Lepisosteus oculatus: one gene and its partner. The protein of the gene in region 1 interacts with the protein of each later gene in a biochemical or structural test. Links are inferred from orthologs where the notes say so. Each region holds a gene or a part of one and is shown on either strand. Other genes may lie near its edges.

The links.
Region 2: the proteins of eed (region 1) and nuclear inhibitor of protein phosphatase 1 form a complex in vitro, tested with the Homo sapiens proteins (2 studies listed by BioGRID). The link is inferred for Lepisosteus oculatus from reciprocal best matches to the Homo sapiens genes EED and PPP1R8.

What each region holds. Positions count from the first base shown.
Region 1 is NC_090710.1:28,192,837-28,200,859, reverse strand, and holds the start of eed (polycomb protein eed), read right to left. Parts: upstream 3,028-8,023; 5' UTR 2,908-3,027; coding exon 2,806-2,907; intron 781-2,805; coding exon 628-780; intron 1-627. UniProt on the Homo sapiens protein: Polycomb group (PcG) protein. Component of the PRC2/EED-EZH2 complex, which methylates 'Lys-9' and 'Lys-27' of histone H3, leading to transcriptional repression of the affected target gene.
Region 2 is NC_090706.1:4,789,174-4,796,555, forward strand, and holds the start of nuclear inhibitor of protein phosphatase 1, read right to left. Parts: upstream 3,006-7,382; 5' UTR 2,918-3,005; intron 1-2,917. Other genes in the region: protein THEMIS2, read left to right, coding at 3,104-3,212. UniProt on the Homo sapiens protein: Inhibitor subunit of the major nuclear protein phosphatase-1 (PP-1). It has RNA-binding activity but does not cleave RNA and may target PP-1 to RNA-associated substrates. May also be involved in pre-mRNA splicing.

The DNA of each region.
Region 1 (8,023 bases):
GACAAGTGAAGACCAGCTCTCCAAATCAGGCAGACCACAGACTGGTGGCTCCTTTTATTCCGCCATTTTCAATTATCCTACTGCTCTCATTCTCAAGTGCCTTCCACCAGGAAAGCATGCATAATGGAAAGATGCTTGCTTGGTTATTCACATTCTGCACATTTTAAATATGTCCATTAAGCATCCCCTTTGCACTGCAGGCATTAAAAATTACAGTTTAGGGGAATTGTGAAAGCACAGCTCCATGTCACGTTCCAAAACACCAAGTGCATGTCGAACCTCTCTGAACTGTTAATACTATTAGTCCTGACACTTATATAGAACTTTTCTGGACACTCCACTTAAAGCTCTTTACACACCAGCTCTCAGTGGGCAGGAGAGCAGAGTGATGAAGCCAGTTCAGAGATGGGGATTATTAGGAGGCCATGATTGGTAAAGGCCTGGAGGAAATGTATCCAGGACACCAGGATTAACACCCCTACTCTTTTCGGGAAACGCCCTGGGATTTTTAATGACCACAGAGGTTCGGGACCTCGGTTTTCGTTTCATCCGAAACTGGGAAAAGACCAGTCCTCCTACTTCATACACTCACAAGCTAGTTCAGCACACTCCTGTGGCTACACTCACCTTGAGGCTGTTGACGCACTTGAAGGAGTATTTACACTTCTTGGATTTCCACTTGCCCTTGCCCCAGCTCTTCCTGCCGGGGGCATTGGGCGTGTTGGTGGGGGTGTCTGGGCGCTCGGTGTTGGTCCCACTCTCTATACTGATGGCATCGTCCTGCAACACAGACAGCACAGAGTGGCAGCGTCTTCCTTGGGGCACTTTCCGCCACACATCCAGCGTGGCACACTGATCATTTTAATGCCATGGAGTGGAAAAAAAATAAAACCAAATAAATAAAACCATCTGCAAGGGAGATTTGAGACTGATAACCCTCAGAAGACTGACTGTTGATCCTCACAATTAACTGCATTGTAATTTATGGGACTCTGCATACAATGGGACACTTTGAGACAGGGAAAGATTCCGAAAGCTGACCGGAAATTGAACTAAAAATGTACATTCAGCTTTGTAACCTGGGATGAAAACTGGTCTGTAATGCCCAAATTCAGGAAATGTGAAATCCCGATCGGCTGCTCCCTATTCCTGCCAAAAGACAGACTGAAAAGCTGAACAATTTCACTGATTTGTCTGATTGGTATTACACATGGCAAAGATGAGCGAGTTTACAAATTAACAAAGTTTAGTTTAAGAACAGGGTTAAAATCCTGCCCGGCTTCAAAGTCAACAGGAAGTCACTTGACCACCTTGTATTTATTTCAACCAAACGAGTGATTGATTCTTCTATTGCAGCACGCTAGAGAAACCTCATTCAGTACATTTTAAGTACGTTTTCCATTGATGCAATGGCAAACAAATACTCGAATCCAACCGGGTGTCGACCATTACATTAAAAAACGATGAAATATTCTAGAAAATATAATCCCAGTACCCATTTTAATCCTCTTGCACCTCAATAAGGGCAACTAGGTCTGAAGAAATTTCCAGCTCCCAGCACAAAAGCCACACTCAAATCCTGAATTAACCGTGTATGTTGATAAAATAAACAGCAATCATGTGATTTTTTTCGTACCCTGAGTTTGAAAACTCATCGGAATTTTCCGGGCCATTTTCAAGGCTGTTCTATGTAAAGAAAGACGAAAACGTCCTACAAGCTTATTCAACGTGCGGCTCCTTAACCTGTGTCTTCAACAGGAAGACCCTGCATTCACCCGTTCCTTGCTTTAAAATGCTACACATTTTCTAACACTGAAAACATCCGTCTTCGTTTTGAAGACCGTAACAGCTAAAAACGACACGAAATCCTCTATCACACGTACGGCTGAATGAAAACAGCACGTCAGCCCGACAACTGAATGCCCAGTCTCCTTCTCAGACTGTCAATGATGTCTCCGGGGAGCTCTGTCTCTACTGAGCGTCTCGCCATCTCGGCAGTGAGCGGTTCGTTTTGGTGACGTGTTTTAGAGACGAGTGATAAATTCTGTAGCGCTGCTGCAGTAAAGGTGTCCTTCACCCTTCAATTGACTGTTTCTTAAAACAACCGAAACGAAGTACTACAAAGAAAAAACACACACAAAACAAATGGTATTTTAAGCCACCGGTTTAAACGGTATTGGCATTGAAAAGCATTTTGAAGAAGGTCTGAAGTAACGAAGGTTTCGGCACGTTAACTGCTTTCTGACGACCTGTTTAGCAGGATTGTAACGTTATTTTCCAGGAGTGGTGACCGACCGCACGGGGAGACAACGGGCACCTTGAGGCTGGGCACCGCGAATCTCCCCTGTATCTCGCGTTAGAAGAAAAAAAACACATCGAACTAATATAAATAAGTTTGATCTGACGAGAAACATGAAACCCCCCAAAAAATATCAAATTTAGAGAATAAGAGCGCCGAACGAAGACAACTAGGAGCTTGTGTCTGCGGCCGCACGACGAACAGAATATTCCTGATGGAAATACCGTTCCGTTTCTACATCGCCGGGCAAAAATATAATTTCGTGCCAGGAGTAGCCAGCTCTGAACCGAGACTACAGCAGCAGCTGTAACGCCGCCAGCGCGGGTGAGCGGCTCACGCTGTTGCACAGAGATCGGGGCCTCTGCTGTGGTTCAGCAGTCACCCATTTTTACACCCAACTTTTTAGTCTAAAATCGAGACACGGGCGTCAAGGGGAACCTCACGCCGCCCGCATCCCCGACGCTGGAAGTCACCGCTCTCTCTAGAAGCGCTCAGCTCGGCCTTACGTTTTCATCCCCCGAAAGATCGGGGTTGCTGTTCTCGTCGCTGCTCAGTTTCTGCTTTTTCGACGGCATCTCGTTTCCCGCCTCGGCTTGGCTCTCAGACATCTTCCTTCATCTTCCTCTTCCTCTTCCTCCACTTCCCCCTCCCCCCCAGCGCGAGGCCACACCGCCGCAAACCGTTCGGCTCGAGCTGCAGACGCGCGCTGGAAATGGCCGAATCGCCCCGGAAAACTGCAGGCGCGCGCGCGCTCCTGGGGAGGGTGGTCGCTGGCGCGTGACGTCATAACCCCTCGCCGCCGCCGAGCGGAACGCGCGAGCCTACAGGGTTTTAAGGAATGTCCATCTTGACCTGCTGTTTTTTTTTTAAATCTGACCATTATTATATTTTTAACCTGTGTAGTCCCAACAATAAATGGAATACAGCCCGCCCAGTATGTCTGAACCAGAACAGACCACTTATCCAACAGATTTGCCACACTCCCGTAAAGTGATCATAACTGTCGCACTTTCCCCTCGGTTCCACGTTAGTGATATTAAAATGATTACTGCTACGTGACCCAAACTCTGTGCCTTTTCCTATTGATACACTTAAGAACATCAAGGTTTTATCACTATGAAATTCACACACGTGAGGGACGGTGACGTGCTGTAGATTTATTTTTATTTTCCGATAATTCTTTAAAATGAGAAACAAATGTACAAGATTCGCTGTACCGTTCAGGTGTGCGACACGGCAGCTGTGGTACTCGAAGAGCCGCGGGGAAAAGGGAGGCAGATAGATTTTCGATTTATTTTAGTATTTGTGATGTATCGCACCCAGATTAGTTGTTCTGTTTTAATTTGCCGTGTAAATGTTTTAAGGGGCACGTATTGTGTGGCAAGGACAGACAGCCGACAACATAATTTGTAATGTGTTTAGCGCCTCTCGGCAAATATGTACATAATTGCGTGTGCAGTGGTTGTATGCCTTGTGGAAAAAAAGTCAAGGAGCGCCACTGTGTCTGATATCTGATAAGCAGTTCGAGGCTTTACAGTTGTGAGAAAAAGTTTGTGAACCCTTAGGAATTATCTGGATTTCTGCATGAATGGCTCCTAAAATGAGATCTGGTCTTCATCTATCTAATATTTTTTTTTATTTATTTGTCTTATTTAACAACACACACAACATTTTACTTTGTCATATCTTCATTGAACAAATGGTTTAAACAATCAAGGTCATTATGTACAGCATATATCGAGAGCTTGTTCAATTTTGGTTGATACACTGTCAAAATAAAATATGACCATTCGGGGTAAAATAAGAAAAAACAGCGTGAAAAAAGATATTTTTTCTTAAGAACATGGTTAAAAAACAATCCAGCAACAATTGAATTGCGAAAAGTACAAGTAATAGGTTTAAGCAAAAACTTATGTTTATTCCATGCTGAAAAGAAAAAGAAAACTCAAAGCTCTTTACAGGTAATGGGGATCCCCTCCACCACCACCAGTGTGCAGCTCCACCTGGATGATAATAATAATTGCTTACACTCATATAGCGCTTTTCTGGACACTCCGCTCAAAGCACTTTACAGGTAATGGGGACTCCCCTCCACTACCACCAATGTGCAGCCCCACCTGGATGATGCGACGGCAGCCATAGTGCGCCAGAACACTCACCACACATCAGCTCTCAGTGGGGAGAAGAGCAGAGTAATGAAGCCAATTTACAGAGGGGGATTGTTAGGAGGCCATGATTGGTGAGGGCTGGGAAGTTCATGGTCTTCTGGGAAAACTGGCCCTGGTGTGATTGGTGGGATTTGACCCTGAACGGGTTGCAGTTCGAAAACAGAACAATTTGAGGAAAAGGCAGCCAGGTCAAATTGATCTTATTTTGCAGTCAGTTAGGGGTTCAGTTGTGTAGCCAAGAGCTGAGCTGGGACACAACCAGCAGGACCAGGACCGGGAATGTCTGACAGAAAAAAGAGCAGTCTGCCGATGTTCATGTCATGCCCATTTCTCCCTCTTGTGATTACACTTTCAGGTTAGAATTACAGTACATTTCAAACAAACAGTAATTCCAAATGTGAAGATCATTTAGAGAGCCAGTCATTTAATTGCTTACTTCTGTGTATATAATGTGCAGTTAGTGACTAGGTTTATGTTCTTAATTGGTTAAAATGTACAATTTTCTTGGATTGTCAAGTGATTGTAGTTTGTATATATTATTCCCTGAATCTGTTTGTCCACTGTGCATTTGCTTCATCTGGGATAAATCAAATGATTGCAGATGACAACTCACACAGAATAGTTTGAGAACAATAAGGATATTGACAGCTGTATTTTGAGAAACGGCCACCTAGTGGCGTTGTTCTCTTGCCCTTGAATAGCACCGTGAAATAATATCGTCAAAACTGTGCTCAACCAGAATAGTGCTTCATCATTAATCCTGTCAATAATGTCAGGAAAAAAAATTCCACCTCAGAAGCAAGTGTGATTTCTCAAAAGAGAAGGTAATTCATATAGAATAAGTATTGCTGAAAATATTCTCTGCCATCATAGCTTTCAGAATCAGGCTCTTCTGATCTTGTTCTGCCACCTATTTGGTAGTAGAAGGGGATTTTTTAATTGTGTTCTCGATTCTCAAACTATCATCATTCTTTAAAACTCTCTTTTATTGTCATTTCTTAAAGGTCTTAAAATAAAGGTTTGAGTGATCCAGAGATTTACAGTGCTGGTTTCTGAAAGATCCTGCTGTCGGTTCCCTAGGTTTAATCCTGCCTCATGCACAAATGTAGTTGTCCCGGCTAACAAATGTGGCTGCTGCCTATTGCTTTTAAATTGTGTTTGAAACTAATGTGCGAATTAGTTTCACATCTCAAGAACGTTTCATTTTAACACCCTTCTAGTAATGCCAGAAGTGTTATCTCTAAAAAAAAAACCCAATCGAAACTGTCACATTAATTCTACTATCTTTACATCTGCTGGTGATAAGCGAATACATGTCCAACTTGAAATACATTTTATCTGCTACCTTTGAAATTTAAATGTTAACCCCACTTAGTTTCCCTCCCTTATCCCTGAACCCCCAATGTTGTAGATGTATTTAGCAGAATGTCTGAGCTACTTAAATAGCACTTTTCTGGACACTCCACTCAAAGCGCTTTACAGGTAATGGGGAATGAATGATGCACCAGTACACTCTCCACACACCAGCTCTCAGTGTGGAGGAGAACAGAGTGATGAAGCCAGTTCAGAGATGGGGATTATTAGGAGGCCATTAGTGGTAAAGTCCAATGGGTAATTTGGCCAGGATGCCGGGGTAACACCCCTACTGTTTTCAAGAAACACCCTGGGATTTTTAATGACCACAGAGTCAGGACCTTGGTTTTACGTCTCATCCAAAGGACCTTAACCTTAAGACACAGAATTTACAAATCAGGAGTGATAAGGGAATGCGTTCTCTACTGAGAGCCCTGATAGGCTCTAGCCTTAGTCAATACTGCATGCACCACACAAATGCATACGATTGAAAATTCTGTAAGCCAAAATTCACCCAGACCTCGAGTCAGCAGCTGGTAGATACAAGCAAGTGTCAGCAACCTCAGTCACAGAGGTTGATTGTGCTGTGGACAGCACAAACCACGAGTACAAACTGCCCTATGGAACTCTTATTACATATTTCCATTAAGTGCTTAAAGGACAATCAGACAACCTTCTTTTTTGATGTAGGTGTGAGGCAGAAGAACTGTTTTTAGAATCAACTTCACCCTTGAAAAAGGCTCAACAGCTGAAATGTTTGAATTTCTTTCTATGTTTCAGCATGGAAGGACTCTTTACTCATTTCTTTGCAGGCAACGCACACTGATGCAGCTCCTTACTTGAACCTGTTTCCCCCCAGCATCCTTGATGTTTTACAGTGTCCTGCTCTCATGCAGGAATCTACCGTTTGGCTGGGAGGTACTACAATAATCGTAGACTTACTGTCTGTTTCTTTCTTTGTGCTGAAACACATGAAACACTATCATTTTTCTGGTGCACCAAAGGTTCTCTTTTGTTCCATTTATGCAAACACCCATGTAAATGGCACATAAACACTCTGGGGAAACTGATCTCTGAGGGACCTCTTACTTTGAAAAAAAAGAGGTAAAATAGTGTATTTGCAATAAGGACATTTTATGATTCCCTGAAGGAAGCCTGTTTATCTAGAACAGAAAACAGAAAAAAAACAGAAATAATAATAATGATGATGGAAAGTATAGACCACAACCTACACAAAATGTCTGTTCTAATGTTTACGGACTTGACATGACCTTTAAAATATTGTACCAGGAAGTATTTTATCAAAATCTTCTATCTTGCTCTCTAATCAAATACACTGTGTACACAAAGGTGTACTGAGTGTTTTAAAAAAATCTTAAAACAGTTTGACATCAGCTCTGTACTGCATTCTTCCATCTAATAACTTCAGGAAAAGTGACATTCCTTCATCGTCAAACTGCAAAGGAGTTGTCAGACTGCGCAAAGCTATTCAGCTCCAGATTGTTCCAAATCAAGCGTTGCATGTCAAAAGCTAAAATGGTTATGAGCTTTTTTTTTCACTTGTTCCTAATGTTGTTGCACTTACTTTAACACAAGCAATTGCTGTATATGCATAGCATCAAAAGCTATCTATACTGTATAAGCATTTGCTGTATGTGAGCATCAAATTAAATGCATTGGTCGTATCGGCAACAACTTCACTAAGTTATCAGGAAAATGACAAAGCTGGTTTTGTAGCAGGTGCACAGAGTTCTTATCGTACTTACAGGCCACAGCAGCTTCATTATACTGACTGACATTTGTCATCAGCGGATGGTTCACAGGGGTTCTACACAGGCTAGTGACACTTGGGGCTGCCACTGGGAGCACTGCACATTGTACCTATGTACATGACACAAGCTTTCAACCAAGTTTCAGATGCGAGGTTGTCGCGATTTGCCCCCTTCCTCTCAGAGAGCCCAGACAAACCCGGGCCTGTTCACTGGTCTCTGAGCGCCGGATTCCACACGTCTTCCCAGCTCATTCCCTCACCTGGGCTTCAGGCCTGACAGCAGGGGCATCCGTGGCGTAAATACCTCTCCGTCCTCTAACCGCTACGCCGGGCCCAAGGATGGAAAAAAGGGCGTGGCCAGATTAATCTCACCAGCGGTAGAGATTCTGGAGTTTATTGGATGAGGGGATGGTAATAATGTAATAAATGGAA
Region 2 (7,382 bases), on another chromosome or scaffold:
GTGTCAAACACAACCACAGCTGGCAGGACCTCTCTCGGGCCGAACCAGCCTGTGTCAAACACAACCACAACTGGCAGGACCTCTCTCGGGCCGAACCAGCCTGTGTCAAACACAACCACAGCTGGCAGGACCTCTCTCGGGCCAAACCAGCCTGTGTCACGCACAACAACAACTGGGAGGACCTCTCTCACACCGGACCAGCCTGTGTCAAACACAACCACAGCTGGCAGGAGCTCTCTCGGGCCGAACCAGCCTGTGTCAAACACAACACGTAAAGTATAGGTTATGTAGAAGATAAGAAGCCACTAAATATACTGTAGGTAAATACAGGCACTCTACGTGGGTTTGTTAGCTAGAGCACTTACACGGAAGTCCAGAAATAAAAGTGCTCAAAAGCCGTCAATACATTTAAGGAAGCTACATGTAACTTTTGTTTCTATTTCTTTTTCTTTTTACAGAATAAGTGTGTGGTAATGACTCAGACAACAGCCTGCCACATAGCTTCTCCTTTCTTCAGTGAAATGACAAAATTACATTTATAAGAAATGAAGTGATCAGCTACTTTGGTCAAAAGTGTTGATGCCCGAGGATCCCTCAAAAGATATGGATGTGCTAAATGGTCTTTTATTTGAAACGTCTTGTAACATCAAGAACATGCCAATGTGAAGGCAGCAAGCACAAGCCTATCATTATACTCTTCTTTTTCATGTGATACATTACACAGATACATTCCTGGGCTTAAAGCAATGTTCTACACCGACATGCAGAAACATCGGAACCTTTTAGTCTTGAACAGAAAAGACAATGAGTGCACCTTATACAAATATAGAAAACTCAGAGGACAAAAGTGGAAACTACAGGGATATGCACTTTAAAACTGAGAACAGGAGGCACTTCTTTGCTCCTAGAGAGTTGTGAGAGTATGGAACAAATTGCTCAGTCACAGTTTTGGATGCGAATACCCGGTCTCCTTCAAGAAATGAATGGATGAGATCCTTTAGGTCACTTAGTTACAAAAAAATAGATTTTCTACATTACCTTCTCTTGTTTGAAACTTTATTTTTACGTGATCACTAATAGCTAGCTCACTAAGCTTTTGCAGGACCCCATAAAATCAATTTACCTAACATATAACTTGACAGCATGACTCGGATAATCACAATTTACCTTTCTTGGATCATAACCAAACCGATTCTCCAGCAGTCCTGCTGACAGAATGCCTTGCACTCTTTCACAGTTCAGCAGCACTGTCCCAAAATAGTTCAGGTGGGTAGCTGCATCAGCATGCGTAGGCTGCAAAGGAACAAGTAATAGGTTTATTCCCTGCTGAAAAGAAAAGAAAACACAACATTTTAGCTGTAGAGGCTTCTTCGGGTGTAAGCTTTCTTCTCTTTTCAGCTTACACCTGAAGAAGGCTTCACAGCCGAAACGTTGTGTTTTCTTTCTGCTCTTTTCGGCATGGAATAAACCTATTACCTGTTCCTTTACTGTCCCAAAATGTTGGGGTTTGTCAAAGTGCCATGAATTTCCTAGCCACTTCAAAGGTATCTTTCATAATCTTCCCTTTACAGGCGTTACAGGAAGATGATGTATTTTTTTTCCTGGAAGACTCATTTCTAAAGCGTTGCTCCCACAGCTCACTCAGCTGTAGTGGGAAACGCCACGTCACCTCACTCCATGAAGTTCTGATATTCAGAATAGTGCAAAACACAACACACCTCCTAGCACAGTGAATAGCACACTGACTGGCACACACACCAACACCAGCTGGACAGAGGAGCCAGGCACCAGCTAGGTCACAGACTGTGTGTGGATGGGATGGTGTGGGGGGAGTCCAGGTGCTATCTGAGAACATTTTTCTTCTCTGCTGCTCTCCACTGCCAGCTCTACACTCTAGAGACCTCTGATAAGCAAATGAACTCCACCACCCTCAGTGCTCTGGAAATACAGAAGTTGATACTGCAGAATAAGCACTGTAATTCATGGCAAGAAAACTAAGCTTATATCAAACCCTACCAGGTTTCTCACCGTCAGTGAACTTTCTACAGTTGTTTCATTTTTTACTTCATACTCACTATTATCTCCTTTTACAGACCATATGTTATTACAGTCTGTCCCCTAGAGCTTTTCTTAAATGTAACAAATGTGAAGACTCATAAAAGACTTTGGTAGGGGGGTGTGCCAAATTCGAAAAGTGGACCTCTCTGTTTTCGTTTTGCTTCCTTATTCAGTCTAATCATCTGCTCAAGTACATTTATATATTTCTGCCCTCTTTCAGGTCTCGTGATGGAAAGTTTAAAAAGATTTTTATAATTCAGCTTACAGAACATATAACTCAGCAGCTCAAAAATCTAAAGGATATATTTGTCCCCCTTCTGTTGGGTAAAGCCATTACGCCAATTAAATACGAATGGAAAATATGTCGGCTTTTATGCACTAAAAATGTTCAGTCTTGAACTTCTGAGTCCTAATGCCCACGTACAATGACGGAGACACTATTCAGTAAGAAGGTGCCGTCCTTCGGATGAGATGTAAGACGGGGGTCCTGACTCTCTGTGGTCATTAAAATCTCAGGGCGTTTCTTGAAAAGAGTATTTTAGTAATTAAGTATTAATTAAGAGTGCGATGTCGTTTGACAAGTGTCTACATGCCCTTAAAGTGTTTTGCATCAAAGAACCGATAGTGAATCCTATATTTGTTTTTAAACAAAAAGGCTGTCCAACTACGTGCATTAATGTGCATTGATGGAGGAAAACCGTATAATTATAAAGAGGAAACATTTGAGGGTAATTAATTCTCCTAAACTTTAAGGACGACGACCTTAAAAGTCAGTCTCCCATTTGTCTGGATTTTGTACCGTATGAAGTCCTCGATCAGGTTCACAGACAGGTGTAGCCACCGAGCGAGTTCGCCTTGCCTTGTGGGATGAGCTGTTAAACCGCAGTCCTCTCCCACTTGTGCAGACGCGATGGGCTCTTCGGCGCTTCCTGCTCTTCTCGGTGCGTGGTAAAGCGGGGACACACGAGATACAGCGGCGCTTCGTCCTTTCCAGGGGTAGCAAACCATCGGTTCTGACAATCCGGTTCGTCCAGGGCAGGCGGCGATGGCTGGCTCCAGCGGTGAGGTTCTGTCTCTGCAGGAATACATCGCTTCCGTGGACGCGTCCACGCTGCCGCGCGTCCTGCAGGTCTGCTCCGGGGTTTATTTTCAAGGTAAGTACAGTGGTTTTGCCAAAACGGAGACCAGACAGAGGACAGAGCGTAATCCTATACCTTGGACATGAAGCACACAAATGAAGATTAGCCTGTAGAAAAGGGTCTTGGTAGAAAAAAAAAGTTGTTCACAGGAGCAGTACCACACAGAAACGATACTGTACTACCAGCATTATTAGATTTAAAGACTGATGGTAGATACGGACAATCTTTTTCACTGCCCCAAAATTATTATAATTTCTGGAGTGTAACAACGAGTCTGGAATGGAGATAAAACACTACTGTGTCCCAATATGAAAAAAAATAACAATTACTTCCGTAAATAATTATTACATGTATGTTAATTGGACAGGTTTGAAGTTGATCTATTTTTGCCATATAAGGACACCGCAGGCTTTTGTTTTGAGTAAAATAGAAATGTAACTATATGAACTCCAAATAAAATTAAAATAGTAGCGCTTTAAGCATTCATTTGTTAACCCTGCTCTCTTCTTGCTTCAAAAAAGACTAGTGTACACACCAGCTGTGTGTAAACAGTAGTTCGTGGAATTGAGTTCTGATGATCTCTGGATTGTTGTTTTTTTTACCAAAGGAAAATAAAGTTTTATTACGCATATCAGTTTGGCGGTAGGCCATATGACACTTCTTTTTAAGGCGAAAACTGAAAGTAAAAAACATGTAGATAGGCCACCGTACAACAGATTAATGACAGTATCTACTGATGCAGACACAACACACGGCGTCATTTGGAATATACGAGTTTAATATTACTGTGACCCCGATGTTGGTTTCACATTTACCGTATCTACAACTGCCCAGGGATCGATTTATGAATTGATATAGTAAGAATTTCCCACCCCAAACTAAGGAACACAGTTTAAATTAATCAGAACTAGCTCAGCGAAATAAAAAAGATATCTCGTTTGTTATTCCTTATTGTTAAACTAGCGAATCCTCTAAGAAACCCTCAAGAATGAGCGAAACACATTGTTTAGTAGTGACCATGCAGTCTGGTTTCTGATTTGAAGAAGCGCTGCCGTTCATCCCGGCATGAACCACATGCTGATACACGTCGGTTCATTTGTAACTGCAGAAGCTCCCAGCATATTCCAGCTGTCCCCAAATTCCCGCACACGCATCCATGAACTCCAGGAAGAGGCCAGTTTAGCAAAGCCCGAGATTCTCTCTGTAGGGAAAGATTCTAAAAATGTCGATTGGTCAGACGTTTAAGGAAACAATTAAAACACTGGGAACAATTGGAAGGAAATAAAACATTGATTTTGGTCCAGTGATAAAGAAGGTACAGCAGGAAGGGAAGCAATATTTCTCTATTTTTTTTTGCTATATTTACTTCTAACTAGTGCTACTTCTATAATATCCACTCTGCAGAACAGGAACCCACTGCAAACCAGACTCCAGGCTGCGTGGAACCTGGCGTCTCATGATTTGCATAATTTGCTTTTCCTTTGGTCATTGACCATTTTACTTGGAAGCATAAATGGAGATTCACAGGAACAAACATGTGTAAATGCAAAGGGTTGGAGGAGACTCTGTCCTCGAGCCTGTGTTTGTTAGTGCGGGCTTGCCCATTATTAAGGATTAGGCTGGGTGAGAGGAAGTGGGTATGACTTGTATCACTAGGTCCTGTGATGACCTTCTCAACATAAATATTGCAAACTCAGCCCTGATACACCGCCTGAGTTTACACAGAAAAACAGAATGTAACTTGCTTACATTCAAATGTGTGACAGGTTTTCACTTTTATTTATATAATATATATAACATTACTTTATAACCCTTTACAACTTCTTGCATTAGGAATTATCTTTTCACATACCCCAGCTTACTCTCCATGAGACACACAGACAGTGAGAGAGCTTGGGGTCAGAGCGCAGGGTCTGCCATTGTACGGCACCCCTGGAGCAGTTGGGGTTAAGGGCCTTGGTCAGGGGCCCAACGGAGTAGGATTCCTCTGCCAGCTGCAGGATTTGAACCAGCAACCTTCCAGCTACTGGTATAGATCCTTAGCCACAGAGCCACTGCTCCACCCGAGCTATGTATTTGTGAGAATACATAGTGCCTTTATTTATATTTCATACCTACCCTCAGTTTTACAGCCTTCGCAGGCAATGCCAGTCAAATCACTGTGTTTAGGGAGTTATCTGCAGTACAAGTAAATATTTAATCAGCTCAGAGTGAATTTTTGTAGTTAGTGTACAAGGAAGTGTACCCTGCAGATCCTATGAAACAGTGGGGAAAATCCCAAGCCATTTAATTTTAATTTTATGTGAAGCCAAGTGAAACAGTTCGTTGAATCAGGTTGGAATTTACATCAAACGCATAAAATGAATGGTGCAAGAGTAAGGTTCCTTTTTATGTGGAGATCAGTCACACGGGAAAAAGTATCCCATTTCCCACATGGTGTAACCTGTTTTATTTAAATTAATTACGTATTAAAATAATAACTCTCTGAAAATGCACAAACAAGGGAAGGCAGTTTAGTCCCTTATATTTCCAGCTAGTGCAGGGTGACGTAATCCCCGTTAAGCCATTAGTGAGCAGACCCAATTGAAACAGCCTTCAAAGGTATGGCAGAGCATTCAGCACAAGCAGATGTCAAACTGTGCCTCCCTCATCCGTAAGGCCATTTTCTTCCAGTTCATTTTTGTTCTCTCTTCTCCTGCACACGGACTTGAGACTGAAGTAGCAGGCAGTGAGTAGCAGGGTTTAAGTGAACCTGATGTTGCAGATCTAAGCCCAATTGTCTTAATATTGCCAGAGCCTATAACAGCAAGGATTGGATGCAAGGAATGGCCACCAGTCCATCGCAGGGCACACACGGTGTCCCAATATGATTAATTTGAAGTCTTATTTGAACTTATTTGAATGAATAATAATAATAATCAACATCATCATCTTCAAATCGAATGTTTACATTGCTTATTGTCTTTAATATACAACTTTTCTGCGTAATTTTCTGCGTAGATGGAAACATGGGAAAAGGAACTGACCCAGAACTGAAAAGCCTTCTCCTACACTGTGGCTGGGCTCTCTGGGCCTGTTTGGTCATAGGCACTATCCCTGCCAGTCCTCCACTGTTTAATTGATAAATGATAAGGTTGATAATAAAGATCAATCAATTGATCTGACTAGTTGGATTTATTCGACTCAGTCTGCAGATAGTCATAGTCCATTTACTGTTCGTAGGAGGCAGATGGTCTGCAAAATATAACACCACAGTAATTCAATAAGTAGTCAGAAGAAATGAAGATGAACTAACAAAGAATACCAAGAAAACCCATTGTATTGCCACAGCTATGTATTGTGAAGGCGAACTGTTGAGGAAAACCACAGCCTTCCATAGTAGGTTGGAAAGAGGCAGCAGGTCAGCAGTCAGGATGATCTGTGTGTGCATTGAAATCACTTAGTTGTGTAATACTTACAGAGGTTGTAACCCCATTCAACAGCAAAAAAACAACAACTTTTTGCTAGATGCCAATTTGCTGATGGGGAAAAAAAGTAAATTTGCAAATATTAGCCTTCAGAGGAACTAGTAAAGGTTTATTGGAGTTTATTTATGGAATAAACCTTTACTTGGTGATTTGTAGCCTATGCATGCTGAGACAGCTACTGTACCTACCTAACTAATCTTAGCCTTGTTAATTAACTGTGAAATATTGCGGATTTTTACCATTTTTTGTACATATTACAGTAATTCCCCGAGAGTTCCTCACTTTATCGATTTGTGTATACAGGTCACTTTTGGTGATTATTTTTAAGCACATTGAGATGATGTATCATTAAAGTTGTAAAATGAAGTAACAAAGTATCAATGATAAATTATTAATATTATTAGACCAGCAATACTGCTGAGGTACAGGGGTGAATTGTGAAGAAGATGAAACCACACTGGCAGTGTAGTTAGAGTAAGTATTATAGATCAGAGCCCCATGCACAACTGCATTGAAGTTATACACTTAAACAATGTTCACTAAACCTCTGATTCAAAGAAGAGACAAACAAATATGTGAACAACTTAAGAATATCTGATGTACATTTCCTTTTTCTGCTGTTCTTACAGTTAGCTCTATTTTTAATCTAATTTTCATGGTGCACTATTTCAGCATTCACAGTTAAGTCCCTAATCATATGGGTCCCTTGGGAGGCAAG